Lepisosteus oculatus: one gene and its partners. The protein of the gene in region 2 interacts with the protein of the main gene of each other region in a biochemical or structural test. Links are inferred from orthologs where the notes say so. Each region holds a gene or a part of one and is shown on either strand. Other genes may lie near its edges.

The links. The genes of interacting proteins can lie anywhere in the genome.
Region 1: the proteins of cullin-5 (region 2) and cbfb form a complex in vitro, tested with the Homo sapiens proteins (4 studies listed by BioGRID). The link is inferred for Lepisosteus oculatus from reciprocal best matches to the Homo sapiens genes CUL5 and CBFB.
Region 3: of the proteins of cullin-5 (region 2) and ube2f, one has a biochemical effect on the other in vitro, tested with the Homo sapiens proteins (2 studies listed by BioGRID). The link is inferred for Lepisosteus oculatus from reciprocal best matches to the Homo sapiens genes CUL5 and UBE2F.

Annotation. Positions count from the first base shown.
Region 1 is NC_090715.1:1,079,286-1,086,829, forward strand, and holds the start of cbfb (core-binding factor subunit beta), read left to right. Parts: upstream 1-4,109; 5' UTR 4,110-4,482; coding exon 4,483-4,560; intron 4,561-5,296; coding exon 5,297-5,383; intron 5,384-7,198; coding exon 7,199-7,315; intron 7,316-7,544. UniProt on the Homo sapiens protein: Forms the heterodimeric complex core-binding factor (CBF) with RUNX family proteins (RUNX1, RUNX2, and RUNX3).
Region 2 is NC_090700.1:10,146,253-10,154,263, forward strand, and holds the start of cullin-5, read right to left. Parts: upstream 3,216-8,011; 5' UTR 2,946-3,215; coding exon 2,922-2,945; intron 1-2,921. Other genes in the region: ras-related protein Rab-39A, read right to left, coding at 7,254-7,680. UniProt on the Homo sapiens protein: Core component of multiple cullin-5-RING E3 ubiquitin-protein ligase complexes (ECS complexes, also named CRL5 complexes), which mediate the ubiquitination and subsequent proteasomal degradation of target proteins.
Region 3 is NC_090707.1:7,789,890-7,798,085, reverse strand, and holds the start of ube2f (NEDD8-conjugating enzyme UBE2F), read right to left. Parts: upstream 3,436-8,196; 5' UTR 3,198-3,435; intron 1-3,197. UniProt on the Homo sapiens protein: Accepts the ubiquitin-like protein NEDD8 from the UBA3-NAE1 E1 complex and catalyzes its covalent attachment to other proteins. Together with the E3 ubiquitin ligase RNF7/RBX2, specifically neddylates cullin-5 (CUL5).

The DNA.
Region 1 (7,544 bases), on a different chromosome or scaffold from region 2:
CAGCCCAACACAAGGACAGATGGGTACTCCTTGATCAGTCTGCTTGATTGATCTGCTCTGTAGGCACACACAAGCTCTACAGCACGTTCTGGATAACAAGACACACCAGAGAGCAGTTCATGTTCTAAAATGCTGAAATAAAAGGAATGTGTGATATTGGGGTTTTGAATAAAAAATGCAGCACACTGGCCAGATTCTAGTGGACAGGTTTGCCCCCCAAAAGGCCTTTCCAGGTGAAGGGGTGCAGTCTGTGTTCCCCTAGACCTGGCCAGGACAGGAGACCCCCACAGTCAGAGACCAGCGAGGGGAGGGAGAGACACATGAGAGAAGACAAATGACATGCAGGACGACTGTTTCTGTTCATTTATTTTGATGATGTTTCTGCTATATTTAAATATCATTCGAGGTGTAGAAACACAATGCAAGAGGGTATAAATAAACCAGACACAGCACAGAGACTCCACGGACAAACACTACAGTCTCACAGCAGTTTCGTTTCTTATCTGCTAGGCAATGAACTAGCTGAAGAATCTTTCAGTTTCACTAAGAAACTGGGTTCTTTATTGAATGCTCAAGGTGGTGGACCCGAGGTTTGGAAAGCTTTGTGTGAGGTCAGAGCTCACCATGAGGCTAACAGTGCATCAGGAAAGTAAACTGTTATTATGTCGAATATTTCTCAAGTTGTGTTGTTGTTGTAGCTTTAGCTCAAGCAACTATGTTCTAACTTGTCGAATTCTGAAATGACATTCTGATAATTGTAGTGCTGGCTTGGGAAGAAACAACATTTTTTTTTCTGATTTCACAAACATTATTTAAAAGTGATATAAATGACGGCCGGGCCTGTAGAAAACTCAAGGAAGGTGTTTAGTCAGCAGAGAGTGAAGAGCTCTTGTTGTCTGGCTAGGGCTCATGGAATATTTAATATGGAAATGCGACTTTCTCACAAATGACAATCTGTAGGGAATAAATTATAGTGAGGATCCAGAGGCAGAGAACCAGAGAAAGAGGGCGAGAGAAACGCAGACAGACAGCAATGGCTCAATAACCATTCTACTGAAAACAATTCAAACAGACATCTAGCATCAGCTCTTTTAAGTGCTTTGTCAAAACTAGTGCTCTAGACCACAAAAATGTTAATTAATTAATAAGCATTTTGTGGTGCTATTAAAGCACTTACATGCACTATTTGGCAGTGCTCTAGGCCGCCTTTTAACAGATTTATTAACAGCAGAGACCGGAGATCAGAGTGCCAGAGCATGCCATGCTGCGAGGAGGAGGTACTCTGGCTTGCCCCTGGCCCTTCCTGTTCCTGCGATCAGCTGGCAAGACCATCTTCACAGCGGGACAACACCCACCCCGAGCTGCCTGCGGAGAGGACCCACTTACACAGCACGAGCAACAGCCTAACATTCTGCAGAAAGCAAGCTGCCTCCAATTCCAAAGGCAACCATACAACAACAAGCGAGGGGGTTCCTTTGCTGGGGGGGTGGGGGTGGGATAAACATCTGAGGAGACAAAATGATGTTTCCACGTGTCAGCACCTGTGTCATGTGAGGACTACACACCCTCTCCCTAATTGCTGATTTTTCTGGAGGAGCAGTGATCTCAGACAACAACAAAACTGTAGGAGACACATCAGTGTTGACACACGCTACCCTCCAGTGCACACACACAGCCCGGTTCTTCAGTACCAGCACGATCTTTATCCAATCTAATTTCCCCTCTCTCCCCCCGACACATCTCAAACACCAACTCCAGATTGTTCTGCACAAGTGCAGCACACAGACTCGATTTACTTCATACTTCTAAGTCAGGAATCTTTAAATAAATAATCACCGGAAAAACACTGATCTGAAAAAAAACTGAGCTCTTCTTATTTTTTCATGTCAGGAGAAAACAAAGTGGAAATGTCTGCTGTGCTGTAGTGAGAGGTCTAGTTAGCGCAGCTGCCAGGGAGATCTGTTCCATGGTACTTCGTTAACGGCCTTTGGGAAATCAGCTCTGACAGTGACCCAGTCTTGTGAAGAAAGAAAAACACGTTTTCAACAGAAAGAAATCTTCTTCTTGTGCTTTTGAAAATATTAAAGATAGAAAAATTGGTTCATAAAAAAACATCCAAAACTGACATGTCAGCAACCTCAATGAGATGTTCTCATCATGTTCATGATACAGTCCTGGACACAATCTTTTGGCGCCTTTTCCCAATGTCAGACTGAGAGTCCTTGCAAACCCATTTAACTCGAGGACGGATTGCTTTAGGGCCCCGGGACCTTGTCTTTCACCCTGGTCCTGTCTCCATCCAATCAGCTCTGCCTTGCCAAGATACTAAGCCCGGGGCTGCAGAGCTCATCTCAGGCAGCCTCAGCCACACGCCTGGTCTCTGACACGCTCTGACATCAGAGAAGAGAACTGCAAACTCCACACTTCTGACATCTAAGTTACACTTCTGCTTTTAGGAACTTCTCCTTTTCCACAGATAAAACACAGCACAGACCTCCTGCACTCATCGTGTGGCCCTAGATGTCACCGTCTCACAGGAGACAGGGCCAAAGACAGTGGCATGGAAAAAGCAGATCTAGATTTCACACCTGACAGCTCATTGGAAGACCATTTTCTGATATTTCTGTTAAGATATTGCTGCCAACACCTGACATCAGTTGTGTCAATTCCTGGACAGCCATACTGGTGTCTTTTTTTTGTTCCACCCTTAGTGGTCAATTAAGTAACTTATTATCTTTGGTAGGCGTATCCAGAATGTTCTGTAAGGCTATCACAGTGCCTTAGCAACCATGTCACCCTGTAGCTCACAACTGGCAGCCTACTGGAGCTCAGCAGGTGTGAGCCTGGTCAGTACCTGGATGGGAGACTCCTGGGAAAAACTAAGGTTGCTGGTGGAAGAGGTTTTAATGGGACCAGTAAAGTGGTCTGTGTGGGTTCTAATGCCCCAGTATAATGACGGGGACACTATACTGTTAAAAAGTTTAAATGAGACATAAAAATGGGGTCCTGACTCTCTGTGGTCATTAAAAATCCCAGGGCGTTTCTTGAAACGAGTAGGGGTGTTACCAATCATGGCCACCTAATAATCCCCTTATCTGAACTGGCTTCATCACTCTGCTCTCCTCCCCACTGAGAGCTGGTGCGTGGGGAGCGTACTGGTGCACTCTGGCTGCTGTCTCATCATCCAGGTGGGGCTGCACACTAGTGGTGGTGGAGGGGATCCCCATTACCTGTAAAGTATAGTGGAGTGTGCAGAAAAGCACTATATATAATTGTTAGGGCTTTAGTTAGAAAATCACGTCATTCAAAGGAGAGTGTCCTCCACCTCTATCGAGCTCAGAGCCCAGTTAGGAGGATCACAGTCGGGGAGACAGTTTCGCATCTCTAGCAAGAAAACACACGACAATATGAACGATAACACAAGATTTGTAAAAGGGAACACAAAATACCGTCACAACACCCGAAAATTGTCATGCTTCGCCGCGTAAAGAAGAACACTCCACCAAATCGGGCTTGTCGATACCTGTGCTTTATTTGAATGAGTTCAACATGTAAATAACGTTTTTTTTTTTCCCCGTCGGCAGGTAGGCGCGCTGTCTCGCACTTCGTTAGAAGACGAATGTTTCCGAATGGCACAGAAACAACTCAGGAAGACCCCCAATGCTTTTCTAGCGCATGCACGAAAAACATAACCCGTAGTACGCTGAGACCATGAACACAATGGTAGAAAAATACGAGTTCGGAAACAAATATTTAACAAGATTTGCTAAATAAAACTTAGCATGTATTGGCATCTAAAAGGCGTCATATCGTTAGAAGAGATTTTGTTACAGATTCTCTGAGCAGACGTGAAACAGAATGTTTTAAAAATAAATCAAATATTAATCTTTTCTTTAAATAAAATGAAACCAAGACACAATGTGCCCAGTATCTCGATTCTGAAGATTCAGAAGCTTGGTGGAACACACGTTATTATTAAATTATTAGTAGTAGCCCCGCGCGGCTCTCGAGCAGGCAGGCTGCCGCGCTGGACACGCTTGCGCGCGGCGACACGCCAGGCGGAGCGCGCCTGCGCACAGCGGAGCGGAGTGAGAATTGTGAATGGGGGGAGCCCTGGGTGTGCAGTCGTAAGTACGACTCAGAGGAGCCAGGAAGTAACTTCGAGCTGAGCTGCGCAGAGAGACGGTTACGGGGAAAAAACGCGGAGAGCCAGCATCGTTGTTGAAGGAGGACGGGCGCACACGCTGGACGTGAGGGGTAGCCTAGCCAGGCACCAAACCGACCCGACACTCTCTCGGACTGGGGGGCTGAGCGCGGCGCCCCGCTGGAACCCCTCACACAGAGCGGACTGTACCTTACCTCACACGAGAGGAAGGAAGAAAGTTTAGAAGCGGGATCTGGGAGAGTTGCAAAGCTTTCTCTGGCGCTCGAATCGGTTTTCTTTTCCTCTCATTTTTTTTGGGGGGGTGAATAATTGTAAAGATGCCCCGAGTGGTCCCCGATCAGAGGAGCAAGTTTGAAAACGAGGAGTTCTTCAGGAAACTGAGCCGGGAGTGCGAGGTGAGCAAGTATTTCAGTGAACACATCTGTGCTGAAGTGGCGGAAAAGATGCTCGCTTTCAGTGCAGCATCACGCTGAAGTTTGGGGGACGGGGGCTGTACGTCTTGCCCTGCGCCCGGTGGGAGATGAGCGTGGGATTTTGCTCTTTTAAATGTGACTTAACCGCGTGAGCTTTGATGTCTGCTGGAGTGTGTTTGTGTTGAATCAGTGGAAATGTGCTGTTTTCGCAATAAACTTCCTGTTTGAAACGGGCGATGGGAATGGTCTAGCCGTCGTAGTCTGGCTTGCTAACATTACCCTTTCGTTCTGTGCGTACTCAGGCGACTGTCTAGTAGTGTTTATTAAGCGTCGGGGTTTCCTGGTAATGTTTGTGGATATCCTGAAGAAGACCGCGCGAGTCAAAGGTTATTTTTAAAAGCCTCCAGTGGAGGGAGGGTGGGAAATGTGGCCGGAGAGACGGACTGAGCGAGGCAGATGCCGTGCGCTTCCTGCGGGGAGCTTGGCTCCGTGTCTGCGCAGCGCGGTGCCGAGGAAGAGACCCAGCCGGGAGCTCAGCGCTCCTGAGACGCCTGGCAGCAGGGGTGGGTGAGGGAGAGAGACAGCACCCTGTTTGTCAGCGCGGAAATCGCGCAGAATTTAAATACGGGTCAGGGGGCTGCCTGCTGGCTTTCGGGCAGACGCCAACGCGCATCTTTGATTGAGTTTTTCTTCTGCCCGTCTGCCCGTCTTCTTCTAGATCAAGTACACCGGCTTCCGAGACCGGCCCCACGAGGAGAGACAAGCGCGTTTCCAGAACGCCTGTCGGGATGGGCGTTCAGAAATAGTAAGTGAGCTTGCCTTTAAACCCGTCTCCCCGTGCACCTCCAGCGGATGCTGGATTTTGAAAATCGGAATACAGACCTGAAGACCCTGATTCGCCCGGGAAAATGTTAACACAACTTTCACAACCTTGGAAATAAAAAGAATTTCGCTGTTTCCTTGTAAGAGCCGAGACGGCGGCTCGATGAATGAATTATGTCTGGACTGGTCTTAACACATCATTCGTCTCCTCCTTCCTTCGATATTTACAGGACTCTTTCGTAATTAGACCCCTGTAGCTTTATTATACAGTGTTGCTCAGCACACACATGACGGAAACGTCCAGACTGACGGATCTGACGGCCCAGTGCGGACCCTGTACTCATGAGCTATAGGTGCAAAATAACTGGGTGTCGAGAAGGTTGGTGTGGCTGCTTTTGTGGGACCAGAAACAGTAAACAGTGTACTATTATGATCATAATAGTAATTATTATTATAATTCTAATATTATTATTATTAGCAATAATTTAACGAAATTCACATTTGTTTACGTGGCTTCTTAAGGATCTCTTATTTCCGCTCCGAGACACGACACAGTAACCAGTCTTTGAATCGCGGGGCGACTGGGGAAGCGATTGGAAAGCGGATCATGTCCAGATGTGTCTAAGTGGCACAACGAGAGTCTTCAGCAACCTGCCGCTGAAGTATTTTAAAAACCTGCCGTGTCCCGATGTTGATCCTAGTTTCATGTTGCAGCCATTAATATAAACCGGCATTATTGGATTGACTTTTGTCTCTGGATGAAGAATATTTCCAGGGAGAGTTTTTTTTTAATCAATACTCCGTGGATGACGTAATGATCAACAGTTCTTGTTCAGGCGCTGTGTATCTGAAAGCGCACTGAATTGGAGAGAAAGTAAGAAAGTACTGCTGGATAAAGCCTGGCAGTAAATGAAAGCGATTTGCTTAATGCAAATGCTACTCGGAGCTCCATTTCTTTACTGAGAGCGAAAGATGACCTAGCGTGGAAGTGTGAAAGTCGACTTCTCGCTCTGAAAGCCCAGCGCCCTGGCCACTCCGGCTCCGAGCGAGGTGGCACCGTGTCACTGTGGTCTTTTGTTTCAAGTACAGCCCCTGCTCTTTCTCAGAGATAATTATCCACAGGGGGCTGACTTGCCGCGAACAAGCTGTGAAGCCTACTGAATGAACCTGCCACACTTCCCTACTGACGTATATTAAATCCAGTTTTCATTATACAGGACAGGTCTGCTTAGTGTTTGCTCTTTGTTCCCTTGAGAGATGCCCCCTGTTTATTAAAAAAAAAACATCTAGGTTAAAGCTAAATGATTTCCACACCTCTTTTTCTGAACACAAATCACCAGATTGCAGACTCAAAAGGGCTGGATTCAGGTACGTTCGATTACAAGAAACAAAGCTAGATTTGTTAGGGGGTTTTTCAAAGTGATATTAAAAAAAAAGAAGTGTATACGTTTTTATTTCCAGATGCGCAGTCTGGATCATACTTCGAGCACAGCGCCAGGCTTTCAGACTCCCGGTTATTAATGTCAGCAGAAGGACTAATTTAAAATAATATATTGATTTTTTTTTTCTTACGGCAGTATCCTGTGTCCCTTGCAGCCAGTGGTGAATGTTGGTAAAATAGAATCAGATGTTTGAAACTCGATATTTAAAAAGAAAATGATGACTCTGGAGTGTTTTTCTGGTGCTCTCTGAAGGCTGCTGGCTCGTGGCTCTCAGTGATGTAAAAAATAAATGACTTGACTGCATAATTTATGTCTCGTTCAGCTTCTGATCCTGTTTGTATTGATTTTTCTAAAAGGCTTTTGTGGCGACAGGAACCAACCTCTCCCTGCAGTTCTTCCCGGCGAACCTGCACGGAGACCAGCGACAGGCTCCCAGCCGGGAGTACGTGGACTTCGAGCGCGAGACCGGGAAGGTAACCCTCCGCCCGCCGGGAATTCTCTTCCCGAGATTCGCTCCTCCGTCGGTCCCCAGGCGTCACCTCACACCCGCCTGCTTGGAGCTTTTCGCTAATCTGCTCTCCACCCGCCAGCGTCCTGCCTCGGAACCTGATATCCCGGGCGCGAGGCTCCCGGTGCTCCTGTCTCATCCCTGTGGGAGTGTCGGCAGGGCCGCGGCTCCCACTCGCGGAGCGTCCGTCACAG
Region 2 (8,011 bases):
ATATTCAAATATTTGTACACTCCACTGTTTGAGGATGTTTTGGCTGCACAATGCTCTCCAGTCTCCTGCCTCTCTTCTCACATGTAAAGCAAAACAGGCTCTCGTAAAATCTCTCTTTTCCGACTGACTGTCTCTCTGGAGCAAAGCTGTGCATCCGATAAGACACTGCAAACATTCTTCTAGAGTGTTGCTTTTGAGGTTATAATTTTAATGTTCATGGTTATTTTAAGATCAATACCTAAAGGGATCACTGCCTTGTCTCTTTTGAAGTCTGGAATTTACAGCCTCTACTCGGTTGAAGTAATTACCATCAGTAGTCAACTTCAAATAATCCCTTCTGCTCGCTTGGTATTAAAGTTGGGTGTTTATGTAACTTACTACTCACAGGCCTGCAGATAAAAACAAAATTATCACGTGCACTGAACAGCACAGTGATTAGGGTATCAGCACATACTATGGATTGATTTAAGAAGGGTGATTTAGTTGTAGATCTGACAACTGGTCTGAATAATGGTGTTCATCTTCCCCTTTAGGGATATGTACAGTACTTATGGTACAGGCCTTTGAGGAATAAATGATGATTTGCAGCACCACACTGAGAATTACCATGAATGCACCCCCACAACAATTCTATGCTGTATAATACATTGTTAAAAGTTTTTAAAAAGTTGCATTTCCATTTTAATCTCAGCTTAATTCTGTAATGCATTATGCTTAAACCTTATCCTCATTGTACTCAGCCAATTTCAGAAATGAGGCACTTAACACTGCATCTTCAAAATCAAGTCACACCGGAAAAGGAGGAAACTTTCAGTATTCAGAAATCTCAGTGTTCCCTGCACTCTCTCCACTGATATACACAACAGGTGACCTGGACAGAAATGATTTCAGGGAGAACTGGAACTAAAGGCATTTTTATAGCTGTATCTCTGGGATGAAATGGCAGCTTTCCAAATGGATACAATTTAGAAGAGCAAACTGAAACATGGGGAGTGAGGGTACAGCTGAATGTTAAGTACTTGGCACGGAGGGAGAATTTAACAGGCAACTGAAAAAATTATGATGAGAAGAGACACTTCAGGAATCAAAGATAAAAATAAGTGCTTACATCCTTTTTTTAAAACAAAAAGTGATTGACCCAATCAACCTTGACAAACCATTTAATCTTTTTACGGATGACTAGGGTAATGCATGCAATCACACCTCACAACTTTTCTGTTTAAAAAATAAAATAACTACATGGGTCACAGTGTGCTATTTTAAACATGTTTAAGATCTGTGTTTTCAATTATCTTGAAGCCTGGAGAACTTCTTCTAAAACCCAGATTTCTTCACTTGAGCTGCACATCGACAGGCAAGATGTAGTGCCAATTTGCTTGCATTACACTTTAAATCCATACCAAACCTTTCATCTATGATAAATGTATGATTTCATTATGCAACTGCTTTAACTAGGCCTGAATTGGAATGCATTAAAAAATGGCACTGGAAAATAAGGAATGCACATCACTGACCTGGAGCTGCAAGGAGAGAGATAGTTTGCAAAGATTCCTCTCTTTACTAATTCCTGTGGGGATCCATACTTAGCCATACACAATAGGCAACTTCCAGAATATAAGTAACAGAAAACAATTAAAGAGTTCAAACTAATCCCATTAGGTCAATTAAGGACTTAATTATGTAAGAAAGACCTCAACTGGAACACAAACCAGCGGGTGGGTGAGTCATCAAGACCAGGGTTTATTCAACTCTGTATTAGACATTATATGGCATGCCACTGCGGAACATGAACCTACATTATATATTAGATATTATTTTTTCCCCCAAAAAGCTGCAGTTCTGAACAAGTTTGGCAAAAACTCTGCATTCTCCTCTTAATGTTAGGAAGATAAGTCAAAATAAGGTAGAGCAAAGGATAAGATAACAGACAACAAACCTTGTCAATCGCAGCTGACAGTTATTTAAGTATGCGCTTTTAATCCAGATTGTGGCTGAAAATAATGCAGGAGAAACGGCAGAGATTTGGGCGAGCTCTCATGATGCTTGTCTAGTGCCCACACCTCGCCTAGTGCAGCTTTTAACACTGAACATTAATGCCTCAACGACTGTCACAGTGGGATTTACATTCAGACAATCTACTGGGTAATGTTATTTTTATTACATAATTTCCCGGCATACGATGTATTCTTCACAATTTCGTGGAAAGATGACATCACGCATCTCAGTCTTTAATATTAAACTAAGGAGCTCTGACATCTATAACATAGAATAAAAATATGTGGTCATACGAACTGTCTCAAATTAGACAAGACCCGATACACACTTCAACACTCACCGGTATCCTCATGATGTTTGAGAGCAGGGAATGATTTATTAGGATTTCTGTATTGCATGGCGTACATCGTGTAGCCCAGCTACAAGCTCACAGGCTATGTAAGCTGAAATCTCCTTTAATAAAATAGAACTTCCCCACTCGTATCCGATACATCCAGTGTCTCTTTAAAACACTCTCAAAGCTTCGACTGTTTTAATTTTAACTCGGAATTCCTGGTGAGACTGACAACACGTACAGAAATCCGGGCAACCACAGCTAGCTGGTTATTTTACAACAGTCAGGGTGTATATTATATCTAAAAATAAAAATAAACTTAGAAATAACAAATCTTTATTGTTTTAGTATAATTAAAAAGGCCCATATCCTGAAAGTAAGTTTGAACATCAGCCACCCAGTGCCAATAATATTTACCACCAAAGATAGCTTTGTCTCCCTTTTCTATTAATATGCACACACGTAGTATTCTAACCTTGCCCCCAAACGCTCCGTCTTTGTAAAGAGCCGCGTTTTAAAATGCAGACAGTCGATCACGAATTAGCGTTACTTACACAAAATACTATCATTATTAAAATGAAGTGCCACCTACCTTTAGCAAATTAGACGTCGCCATGTTCCCTCAACTTATCCCCTCGCGCAGCCTCGCGAGATTTCCGAAGGCTTTAGTTACCAAGGGGTCCTGAGAGATGGAGTAATGTTGAGATACAGTCGGCAAAGTTTTTAAAATATAAATAGTCCCTTTATAAATTACAGTTTATACTATTCCATATTAAGTTCGTTATCGGGCACTGATTATGTGGTGTAGTGGAACGCATTCAATTGTTATTTGCAATCCCTTTTTTAATCATTGGCCTTCAAAACACGAACGCAACTCACTGGAACCGTGTCATGTATTTGAGTGGATGCTAAACTTAGCTTCGCCGAACTAAGTCGATCCATACAAGGGTATATCACATGACCGGGAAACAGTACAGAATAGACAGTTCAAGAGAAAAAAAAACAGCGTAAGAAAGATTCCGAGTTGGAGCTGTGTCCATTAACTGCAATGACTATATTATCCAGAGCCTGGCTTGTGTATTGCAGGGGCAGAAATTATACAATTTCAAACAGACCCATAAAACCTATAAATGGTGTGAACAGAGAGGCATGCAGAAGTGCTACTGATCCAATAACAAGGTGGTCGAGGAACCTGTGACTTGTGTAGACGAATTGCAGCTACAAAAACATGTTTTGGTTGTTCCTCACACTTTTGTGCATTAGCTCGTACACGCAAATTTTGCTAAGATGAAGTCATCAGTGACAAGAACCGAAATGGGGAGACGTTTTTTTTCCCAAGTTTAACTTCACATGATTATGAAAATACCAGATTGCACAAATTGTTATTTGATGTTGTCCACTAGGTGGCACTGTTGTATTAAATGGTGTGCCGGTATCCAAGAAACAGGGTTATTGCTAAAAGAAGTCTTTAAAGTTTTTTTCAACAATGAATTTATCTTCCGTTTTTTTAACTTAGTTACTGTGTACACACTTTTTTTATGCCGTTACATTTTTTTTTACCTGCCGCAGCAGTCCTCAATTCTAGGAACTGTTCATTTTTTACCGCAGTGAGGGCCAAGTTTTTTTTTTTAGATCCTCCTCTTCCTTCAAATCCTGCTGTGAACAAAACAGTTTCCCAAAGTACACAAACTATTAAGGATCATGCGGAAGACAAAAACAAAAAGTGTTCCGAAGTTTTTCCTTACCGATAAACCTTTTCAGTCCAACAATACACTCTGTAGAGAAAATGGCTCTTAAAAGAAGCAAGCTTCTGCGGTAAGTTTGCTTTTCAATTATTTCATTTTCAGGTGAACAATTTTTACACTTTGCGCCTTTTATAGAAAATGTAAAACAATTCTAAGTAATTTATAAAACCTAAAGTTGAATTAAGTATTGATCTCATACCCACTTTTATTATTATACTTGACATACTTCCACACCTAATTAATATTTCAGTTATGCAGTAATGATTACTGGACTTTAAAATATAATGATTAATTAGCCTTTATTCTGTAGGTAAATGGTTTTGAGACATAGTTGTTAATCTTACTTTATAGACACCTTCAATATCTATTTTCAAATTCATGTTTAAGAGTCTCACGAGATTCTGTATCTCTGGTTAGCGCTGAATAATTTATATGTCTCTTCTCACTTGGTATTACATGGTACCCATACTAGGGGACACTACAGTATATGCTTTTTTAAAATAATATGTTGTAGGGCAAAAAAATAAATATTGCAGAAACCTGTTTTACACAACCACATCAAATTGCAAGCATATTGCACCTTGGTAAAGTATTATATTGTGTAAGCTATTGATCAGCATATCCCAGATATAAATCTACTTTAAATGTTCATAGGAATTAATAATCCATTTTTTAAACAAAACGTTAAGGTCAGATATTAATACCTAGAATTTGGAATAACGTGTTACATCATGTGTGATGTGGATTCAGTCTTGGTCTCTGAGTGTCCTAAATTATAAAGAACTAAAAAATCCATCGAAACCAATAAAATGCTGGCAGTTCATTTTTAATGTACATGATTATGCAAGCATTTTTTAAATCCATTTAGAAAACTCTAATCTCCAGGACATCCTTTACACATCACAAGCTGCATGATGCTATAGTGTTATCACTAAATATAGCTGTTTTACTAGAAATGTGAACAGACAGACAGAGAAATGTTACTTCAGCAGAACGAAATATAATGTGGACAACAATCATTGTAGTTCAAATAACTGAAAAAAAACAAATAGATTACAAAGTAACTACAGTATAGCAGTTTAACTTTTTAATTGGCTTCCATTCAAAGCATCTTCCATCTAATGAGGAAAAGTTTTACATGAAAGAGAAAAAGTGCACATTTAACAGTGGTCTGTGAAATACAGAGGCAGTAGTATTTCCTCTAGACATTACTGTTGGTTTAGAGTTTTTAATGATATTAAAGTTGTGTGTAATCTATTAAATACAGTCACATGATGATCTCAATCTAAGCACATTTGTATAAGCAATAATTTAAAGTTGATCTAATCAGTGAACAACACACAATCATGCATATCTTCTTTATGCAAGTTTTCAAGCAAGTAAAAACACCATCTGCTTAAGGCAACGTTCTTGGCAAGCCTTGGAAGACACAAAAAGGCAACATTCACAGAGTGTAGTCCCTACAACACTGAGGGATCATTGCACTCTCATTAGCCATTAAAGTCCCTTAAATTACATTCTCATTTTCATTCTTACTGTCCCAGAATCTGAAACATTGTTCTTTGTAGGCGAACATCGTCCTAAAACACAAAATACGTTTAGGCCTGTTTCTCATTAGTTCTAGTCTCTGGCTACCTAAAGTTAAGTTATACTAGGACTAGGGCTTCTGGAGTCTGTGAAACCGTACCTCAAAGCCAAAAATGCACTGCTTTAAATCTCGCACTTACAAGGGATAGAGACATTCTGAACGCAATTCCCTTTTTTCCACCTATTTGAATATAACATTGGCGCAACAATACATTTCCCTTTAAAATAACATATCCTCAGGTGTGGGATAGATACACTCTATAGCCTGTTGGTCGAAGGCTGCATTTAGGTGCCTTGAGTGTACAAATAATAGAGCAGGAGATGCACAACCTGGAGTTTTGGAGGACAAGAGGCTTTATGGTTTTCTTTCCACCTGTGCTCTTAAATTCAAACAATTGGACTCCTTGTTTTCCTTAAGTGGAAAAGTTGAAGCCTCTCCTTCGTCTTTGGAGTTTTTTTTTTAAGGAGAGTTTCTAAAACCTGCTGGACAGCAACTCCTGTGGATTGGAGTTGGGCTCCAATCTTGCTGATCTAAACCTGGCGATACTGTCAGCCATCTTGGGTTAGGAATCCCCAAGGGGCAGTGTGTAATCCACACTGGCTGGGAGGTTTCCTCATTGTGTAGTGCAGCAGCCACCCAAGTGGTGCTGTGAGCTGCAGGCAGTAAGGAAAAAGTGCTCTTGACAAGTAGTGCCACATCTGAAAGAGGCTGCTGAGATGGCGTTCTTATTTCTTTTTCAGCATGGAATTAACCTTTACTTGTTCCTACTGCCAATTTTTCTCACAAACCAAAAAGTATAGCTCTATCCTCTTAAAGTTATGCACATGAAACTGACAATTCCTATATAAAAATTGGTTTCACAAGGATCAATGTTTTTACACACAAATTTATCCGAGATTGCAGATTTTTTCACACATTTAATTTTCTACCTTTTTTTCGTGGTTTTAAAATGACTTCCTAATGGCTTTGAATTAAGGGGGAAGGGGGAACACTAACACAAATTGTTTAAATATTCTCTTGGTACTAGACAAGCGACTTTGTTCAAATACATTCTTAGCCCTTTAATTGACATCACAACAGATGCTTCTTGCTTTCAAAGACCTATTGCTGAAGGGAGGCACATTACTATAGACAGTCATTCACAGAAAGGCATTGTTAAATGTACATAAAAAAACAACCTTGGAGTTACAAATCAAAAATGCTCTGTTTTTACTATATTGGTCTTTCAGGCAGCTTCTTTCCCAAAACCTCAGGTTTATTTACAAAATATGCACGCACATAAATGGGAAAAACAAAACCAGCTAGCCTAAAAGAAGTGAATTTGTTCTGGAATTATAGTCAATAGATTCAGAACGTTTGGGAACCACAACGGTGAGCATTTCTTTACACTGTTTATGAAATGTTTTACAACCCAAGTCAAGTGATTAAATACAGGAACAGCATCTTGGGTCAGATCAAGAGGACTGCACCGGGATGGCGTAATCTAAAAGCTTGTTGACAGGACATCACACAGTCTTCTCTGGGCGCACTAAGCTACCCCACGCCGTCGCATTTGCGGTCTTTGGCTGAAGAACAATTCACGTCTGACTTGCTAGCATGGGCACCTCCTTCCAGGTTTTACAGCTTCCTCGGAGGAGTGGACTACGTTTGGAATGAAACCGCTTTTGACACCTTCCCAGTCCTCCTGAATGCTTATGTGCCCCCTCTTCACTCGCTCATAGATGTCTCGGGTGAGGATGGTGAAGGACTCCTCCACGTTCGTGGCGTCTTTCGCCGAGGTCTCTATGTATTTCATCCCGCAAGCCAGCGCAAATCTCTCGGCTTCCTCCCGGCTCACTTGCCGTTGGTGTCCAGCGTCACACTTGTGCCCCACCAGAAGAAACACGATCTCAAAGGGCTGCACGTACATCTTGGATTCATCTAACCAGTCCTTCAGGTGCTCAAAGGACCTCCGATTGGTCAAGTCAAAAACCAGGAGTCCTCCCACTGAGTTGCGATAGTAAGAACGCGTTATAGACCTACAATAATAATAAAAAAAAATAACAGTAACTTTAATCAATCGGAATCTGTTCCTACTGTACATACAGACTACTACTCTGGATTGAAGATGCATAACATTTTGTTTACCTTAAATCCCTAATTGTCCTTTTGAGGACTGTGCCAACTGTAATCTATTACTTGAACTGTGGCAGAGTATTTCTACATGATCATTATCGCGGCCTACATTAGATTTGGTTGTTTAGGAGTGCACGTTTTATAACATACGTTGGCCATGAATTGCAAACACGAATTATTTGTCAAGTCATTACAGGCGGTTTTAACTAACAGATGATCATAATCCGCATCCCC
Region 3 (8,196 bases), on a different chromosome or scaffold from region 2:
TGTGAGCTCAGCCAATTCAACAATTTCAGACATCTGGGGATACAGAACAATGGCTGTACTCACTTGTGTGCCTTTTCTTTTTCAAATGTTATCATTACCCATCACAGAAGGATGAGACCACGGCAATGTTAGTCAAGTTATGCTAGAAAAATGGCTAGAGTAACACTACAGCGATTTTACAGACGGAACAAGATTTGCAACAATCCTTCAAATATATGACATAATCCAGTTGAGTTAATCGAGACAACTCAGGCTAAACTCCGTTCCACTCTATTAATGAATGTGGGGTGCCAATTCCCAATCAATAAATAACAGCAGAACAGTTCATTAACTGAATAACAGTTTTTGGCTGGTCCTTCTTTATAATTTAATTGTTCCAATATATGGGAAATGCTCTGGACTGCAATACGAAGCAGTCTGTTATATTTCCCGATAACTACGTTTCCTAATGCCCTGATACAGCATCCCAAACAAAGTAGGCCAGAGGGTGCACGTTTTCTCTCCAATGTCTAAAAGTGGAACACATAAAAACTGGTTATGTATTATTATAATTAATTATCATCACAAAAGTTATGAATTGACTGGAATCAAACGATTTTGCATTCTAGTGCCTTGCTGACAAAGCAAATAAAGTCGTGTACTGAGAACTTGTTCTTCTAGGTACTGCCTGTAAGAGACTTCTGAGAAGTCTTGTCAATAGCCATGTCTGCTGGGGTGGTCAATGAGCATCTGTACGGCTCAATACAGCAGAGAGCCACTCTGTGAAATAACAGGAAATACAGATCAAATAAACCAGTTCTTTGACCTCCTCTGTCCTCTCTCCTTTGTCCCTTCCCCACACTAACACTCTTACATAGTGTGGTGGAAACTTTAAAAGTCATGGGATAAGAGATCCATTTCAGATGGAGTATCTGAAAGCAGCTCTTCTATTTCTTTAATGCGTAAACACATCCACACAGACTCTGGCACGAAGAAAATATAGTTAACATAGTTAGAAAAGGCCATTTGTACAGCAATCAGGGACAGACTGGGCTTCCCTGGGCAAAGCGCTGCCCTCAGCAGCGCTGTTTGAACGTCCTGCAGCACACTGCTCTCCCCCGGTGCTCTTTCCTGCTTCATGAGATGCCCTGTATCACATGTCACAGCGATTCCTATACATGTCTGAGCCAAAGGTGTGCCCCTCCCCCACTCCGTTTCCAACAGCTGTCACAAACAGCCCAGCCCCCTTGTTAACTACAGGACTGGGACAAAGCCTCCCAGGGGTAGGTATTATTCATTTACTTGGAAGACAGTTTTAGCTACAAAATCTTAAATTTGGACCTAATTATCCAGTGCAGCATTTTACTGAAAATCTGAGCAAAGTGCCTGGCTCATGGGTAATAGAACAGCACCCCATTAAAGTTCCGAATCCCCAGACATCACCTCCACACCAGAAAATGATTCTGCTGTGATTCCGATCTGTGATTGACATTTGCTATGGTATTTCTTCCTTCCACTCCAAACGTGGCAAGTTGAGCCATAATCCGTTTTTCAGTTTTTATTTTTCTTCTTCATACTGCAGGACAACCAGGCATGAAAACCAAGAAGGCCTCTTTAAAAAGGTGATGTCTGAAAATGTATTGTGGGTTAAATTTACTATCATGGGAAAATATCACTGAATAATTTATGCAAAAACTGATAACTCTTTTATAAGAAAGTTCATTGTTCACAGCATTATCCCTTCATTGTTAGAGTCACTTACGAACATGAAAGACTGTGGTTTTTATAACTCCATCTATATCATGATCTGTGAAATACTGACAAATTCACTGTACTGGTTCTCAAACCAGAGAATTTCCCTAGAGCTAGTGAGGACTCTGCAACCCCTCCCCATTAACCCTGTCCCAGAATTTCACTTTAGGCCAGAAATGTCCAATACAGAGAAGACAATCTGAAGAGCCAAGATAGAATAAAGTTAAAAAAAAGATAAATGTAGCAGCACATATGTAGAACTGCACAATAGTAAGATTTATCTTAATTACAGATGATAAAAATCTGATTACTCAACATATGTGTTTAGTATAGATTTAAATCTAGAAGAAACAACCTGAAGTATAATCCTTTGAGTTATAACATTTTTATTATGGTCACTTGAACAGTCAATTAAAAAGGCACTGGTGTACCTCTAAAAAGGCTCCCAGAGAAACCCGTACACAGCGGTTCTGCAGTCCCTCTATGCAGACAAGAGCAATCCTGCACTGAGCCCCTATCTTGCAGAATTCCTGAAATCCACAGTATACCAGAGCCTGCATTGCAGCAGTTAGGAGAACTCATACATCTGTATGTAGTGGCACACTGCTGTAGGTAGCAAGATAGCCACAATTCTGCTAGTTTTGCAGGTTATCTATAAACCACGGACTGCTTAGAAAATACTAACCCTTTCATTCCATAAAACTAACACCACATTCTGGAGCAGTGCCAGCAATCTGGGGAAAAAACACCTTGAAGGAAGCAGTGACTAGGCCTCTTGAATAAGAGCCTACAATTTAACTCTCATACACCTCCAGGTTAAATAAAACATGTATTATTACTTATTAGAATTCACTAGCTTATAAAATATAACAAGGACTTTAAATCCGCGTGATAATGCGTTTTGACTCGCTAAGGAAAAAAGAGCATTCACGATTCTAACTAAATCCATAGACACCTCATTATTTGAAATTACACTTCATTTGTTAATATTCATTTCACATCAAACTTCAGGAATTGCTTGTACCGGGATGTCAGTGCAAACAATCCACAATACGGTATCATCCAGTCCATTGCGGAAGGAATCACAACAAATACTTAATCAGCTTCCCAGTTCCTAAGAATATATCAACGTTTTCAAAAGGACAGTGACACCCATGTCCTTCGGGTCACACTACAATACAGCTGTCAAGACAGAAATTGTAAAAAACAGAAGATGCCGGTCATATCACTACATTCCAAACAGCTCACTTCCAGTAAATACCGATACAACAAACGAGAACATCCAGAGAATGCCTTTACACCAACAACAAAAAAAAAACTATTGATTCAAACATTTTAAACGGAATCCACCAGAGGGACATTTAGCGAACCTCATCGCGGAACACATTCACAATTCTTCTGTTCGGTTCAAACTGGCTTTCGCGAAAGCGTTTTAACGCCTTCCTTGTTTTTTTTTTTCTGTTTACCTGCTGTCTCTGAAGAAAGCGTTCCGGATTACACCATTACTAAACACCGACCACAAGCACAGGTCTGTCCGCTGCTCAAGCCGCAGATCACTATGTCGGTTAGAAACAACTCCCGAAAAAAAAAAAAGGTGATTAGGATATGGATTTTCTGGAAATTTCACAGCTTTAAACTCTAGAAAACACCACTACCAGAGACGGAAGTGCCGTTTCTGATCCCTCTGGTAAAATCGTCCGACCACCACACGCGACACTTAAACAATAGTTCCGCTGTTTCTATTACGTGTATTTATCCGGTATCATCAGAAACCGTTTAATCATCCTCAGAACAAAGGTCTCCCGTTCCAGTGCTGGAGGCCCGGTTTGTCCAGAGGTTTTATTGTCTAATTAAAATCAACATCATTAAATAGCTTAAAGATCTGTTAAAATGATCAAATTAAGACAATGATAGACTCAGGTCATTATCACACAGAGAGAGAGAGAGGACACACACATACAGAGGACAATCACAGAGACACCAGTTAACCTGGACAGCGTGTGTTTGGACTATAGGAGAAAACCCATCCAAACAACATGCAGACACCACACATAAAACACACTTGAAACCAAACCCAGGGTCCACCACAATATGCTCATAGATTTGCCTGGCTGCCTGTCACATGGTGTATGTGGCTGCAGCAGCTGAGTCCAGGACCCCCACCCCAGAGACTGGCAGAGAAGAATATAGTCCTATGGCCTTAGATGGAGAAAGTGCCTGGACTTCATTGAGCTACAGTGTTAGACAGTGATTCAGCCAGTGCTTATGCATGAGTCTTCAAAAGGAAGTACTACAGTATGTACATTTCTATAGAATCTTTATCAACAATTTGCATGACTGATTCCCATATTTATGTCATCCTTAAATGAACAGAATGATAGAGAAGAACTAGGGTTTCAGCATTTGAGCATTTCAGCATGGGCTTCCTTGCTAGGCTCCCTTCTGTGAATGAGGGGTGGGTAAGGACAGCTGTCTGTTTCCATGAAGCAGAACCAGTAGGAGCATTGTGGTTACAGACACTGCTGGACAAGAAACATGTCTGCACCTCCAGATGGGCCCCAGCCCCATTCCAGTATGAGGTCACTGACAGTCCCACAGCTCTGTCTGGGTGCTGTATGTTTATACACCTGGGCACACTTTCATGGATCACTCATTCCTTTATATTCCCAGGTAGGACAGTGTCAGAACAAATTCTCATTGACCCATTCATACAGCGGGGCATTTATTCATGTTATCTGGGGGAACGCATTGTACTGTGCTTAAGGGCAGACGAGAATCTATGCTGACAGGTTGTGGGTTTGAGTCCCTGCTACAGACACTGCTGTGGTACCCTTGACTGAGGCACTGTACCCCAGTTGTTACGGTGCAGAAGAAGCAGAATCCTCTGAACTCAAAAGTACCAGCAGGAGTTTCTCCAAAATCATGGGTCAGGAGGTCAGGCCAGGGTCAAAAAACCAGTAAATCCACAATAACCAAGTCAAGATCCAGAAGACGAAGTCAGAGACAAAGCCAGGGGTCAGTGCCAAAAACCTAGAAATCTTGCAAAACAGAGAACAAGATACAATGCAGCTCTAGCTAGGTAAAACCCAATACTGAGCAAGGAGTAGTGTGTCAGGTTGGTTTAAATAGGCAGATGGAAGAAGGTGTGTCTGATTAGTTCATTGGAAACTGCACTGGAGTTTGAAGGAGTTGATTAAGGGTGGTGAGTTCTCCAGGGGCATGATGTAACACCAGTTACTCCGGTCCTCCCTGACAGAAGTTCTCTCTCATCCTTGGAACGCTACAGAAACCAGGATGACCTCTGGCCCCGTGAGCTGTGTGGCTCTGGTCTGGATTCTACCTGTTTACCTTGCTCAAGAGTACAACTAGAGTATAACCACCTGGGATTTGAACCCACAGTCTTTCAGTTGGGTGTGTGGAGCTCACCACTACCGTTTCCATTTTGTGTGAAAGGGTTCGTGGTGTAGTATAGTATCAAGATTGATGTGGCTGACAGAAAATTGTTATAAATTAGTCCAGACTTTTCCAGTGTCTCTTTGCAGTGAAACAGTGGAAATCCTGTCTTGTTTGGCTGCCGTGATTTAATGTGGTTTGTGTTCACCTTAGAAAGGGCACAATTCCAAAATCATTAAATGAGTTCATGCAATTCACAATTGAGAAGCGGAATGTGGCATCACATTAAAACTGATCTAGGGCTCATTTCTGCCTACAGCACTGCTGTGTCACAGTCTCCGAGAATATCAGGGCATCTTTCATTTTTTTTCCAGGCCTAGAGATGCCACAGAGGAAATTACATCTCTGGATTCTGCTCCTGGTTCAGCAGGAGTGTCAGAAAAGCTACACACTAGATAATGATCTTTTGTAATGAGACTAGAAAGAACAGCAAGAAGCTAAAATGAGTAAATAATTAAAGCATGCTCATTTTCCTTTCAATGTGATATTAAGAATTTCATAGACACTGAAGCCTAATATCATATAAAAGGTTCTGGTTTGCCACAAGGAGCTTGTTTTTATTAAACTATTCAGATGCAAAAATATCTTTTTTAAGTGACGACAAAAATAAAATGTAAAAATCTTAAGTACAATTTGCATAAGCATGTGAGGAGTACCTGAAGAGGAGCTTTTCAAAACACAATACATTCAACAACTAGTTGTGAGCTCATAATGCTACCAGAAAGAGGTTGTTAGCATTCTTCCTAAAATAAAAGAACATGTTACTCCTGCCCTGGCTGCTTTTTCGTTTGTATTCTACGTTATTCTCAAGCAGCTGAAAGGCTCTTAATACATGCACAATACAATAAAAGATTTCCATGACATGAGGTGGAGCTGTGGTTAGCAGTGGTTAGCATTGGCCCTTGTACTGCTGGGGCCCTGGACTCAGTTCCAAACCTGGAGCGATGTCTGCGTGCAGTTTGTGTATTCTCCTTGTACTTGTGTGGGTTCCTCCCACAGTGCAAAGACCTACTGGTAGGTTATTTGCCTGGGAAAATTGGCCCTGGTGTGAGTGTGTGTGTATCTGTGTTTGTGTCTCCCATGCAGGGTATATCCTGCCATGTTCTAGCTGCTTGCCAGGATACCAGGATAGACTCAGGCTCCACCTTGGCATCTGAACTAAAAGAAGTGGTTAGAATATAGATGCATGATGCTAAAATCTGATCACTACTTACTACATGTGGCACAAAAGAGGACATCTCTTTGAAAGAAGAAAATTTAAAACATCTATTTAGATGGACATTCTTTAGATCCTTAATGAACTAGTGATAATGTGATTAAAAATATTTTGCATGCATCAGAGCAGCTCGTGAATTAGAGTAGTTCGTGAATTATTCATACAGTCCCAGCACAATTTGCAAAATGCAATATTACATTACAAAGAGCAAATTTTAATCAGCAGAGACTTTGACCACAATATTAATGGCATAATTAGGTTTGTTATCAAAAATTATTTTTTGACTTCATGATATCCCAACCATAATTAAAATAACTGTCTTCTATAGGAACGATCAAAAACAAAGTGTTTAATCAGACAATGCAGGACAGAACTTCTATGGATGAAAATGATTTAATTTACCTCTGAATCTGAAACTCATTAACTCATCCTCCTTTTGAATTCTAGATGTGTCATCTGGAGAAAAACAAAGAGATGTGCTCTTTAAGCCCGTGCAGTTCTGTGCTCTCGAGACACCTGTGCTGTTTGTGTGTTCAAGTTGAATAGATTTCAGCTTTCTCCAGCTAGCAGAGACAGATGCCTGTTGTCATCATTTCAAGAACAAGGACCAAGATAAGACAAAATTGTATTTCTTTACTTCATATGCATTATTTGGGAAAGTAGGTAGGTGCTGTAAGGTCATTTCCATATCCAAGTCATATAAGCTCATCGGGCCAGAGCTCATGAACCAGTGTGGCCGATATTAAGTGGTGTTAGGTGGCCTAGAGAGCATGTGACTCCCCCACCCACACCTCTCCTGGACATCAGTCCATTGCAGAGCCTACCTCCAGCAATACTTACACAGCTGGGTGAACTGGGGTTATGTACCTCTCTCAAAGTGCAACAGCAGTGTCTTCAGGGGGGACTCAAACCCACATCAGGTGTGAGACCAGAGACCATGCTACACCACCCCCATTTGTGTATATAATAAAGATATTACAATAAACATAACATTGTGTCTGTTTCTGCATGAGTAAATACTCATAGAGGTACAAACCATGGAGCGATGGGATGTCTATACTCCTGGACACAGGGTCCCATGGATGCAGAAGTGCAGTGATCTCGCACATTTGGAAGTGGAGTGAAGTCATCTGGCAGATGTGAAAGGGGATTGAAGGGCAGTCTATGCTCTTGGATGCACAGGTAAAAAAAAGTAACTCATTTATTCAGTGTGCTCTCAGCTGCCCACAGAGCAGAAGATTAAAGCTGAAAGACTTTAGAAGCCTTGCACGCCAATCCGTTTCAGTGTGAAGAAGGCATAAGTGCATTCAAGTCAAATGTCTCTCTCTCAAACACACACTGCATGAAGCAAAAAGCACTGAGACTAATCTGTTGTAACAAAAAGGATACAAAACAGCAGAGCCGGGTGCCTTCAAATGTGAAGGGGGCCAAAGTTTTTGTGGAGTTCTGCTACACTGTCTGTACACATTACCCATCCTGAGTCCTAATTGGATTAACTGAAGTGAGAATATAATGGCTGTCTGTACTGACAGCAGCTCAAAACAAAACCTTCAAAGACCTTAAAACTTTCTTTCCCTCTGGTATAATTTACTCAGCACAGCCTTCCAGCTTAGATGGTCCATGTCTTTCATTGAATTGTGGGAAGCCTCCATAAGTATGGTAAGGATGGAAAATTCCAGCTGAAAAAATTAAAGCAATTCATGTGCAGGAAAAGCAATTTTTACAAAATAATAAAAGCATGCTAGTGGCCAGTTCAGGCCATTTTCATTTTTCTGATCACTCAAATTGGCTATCTT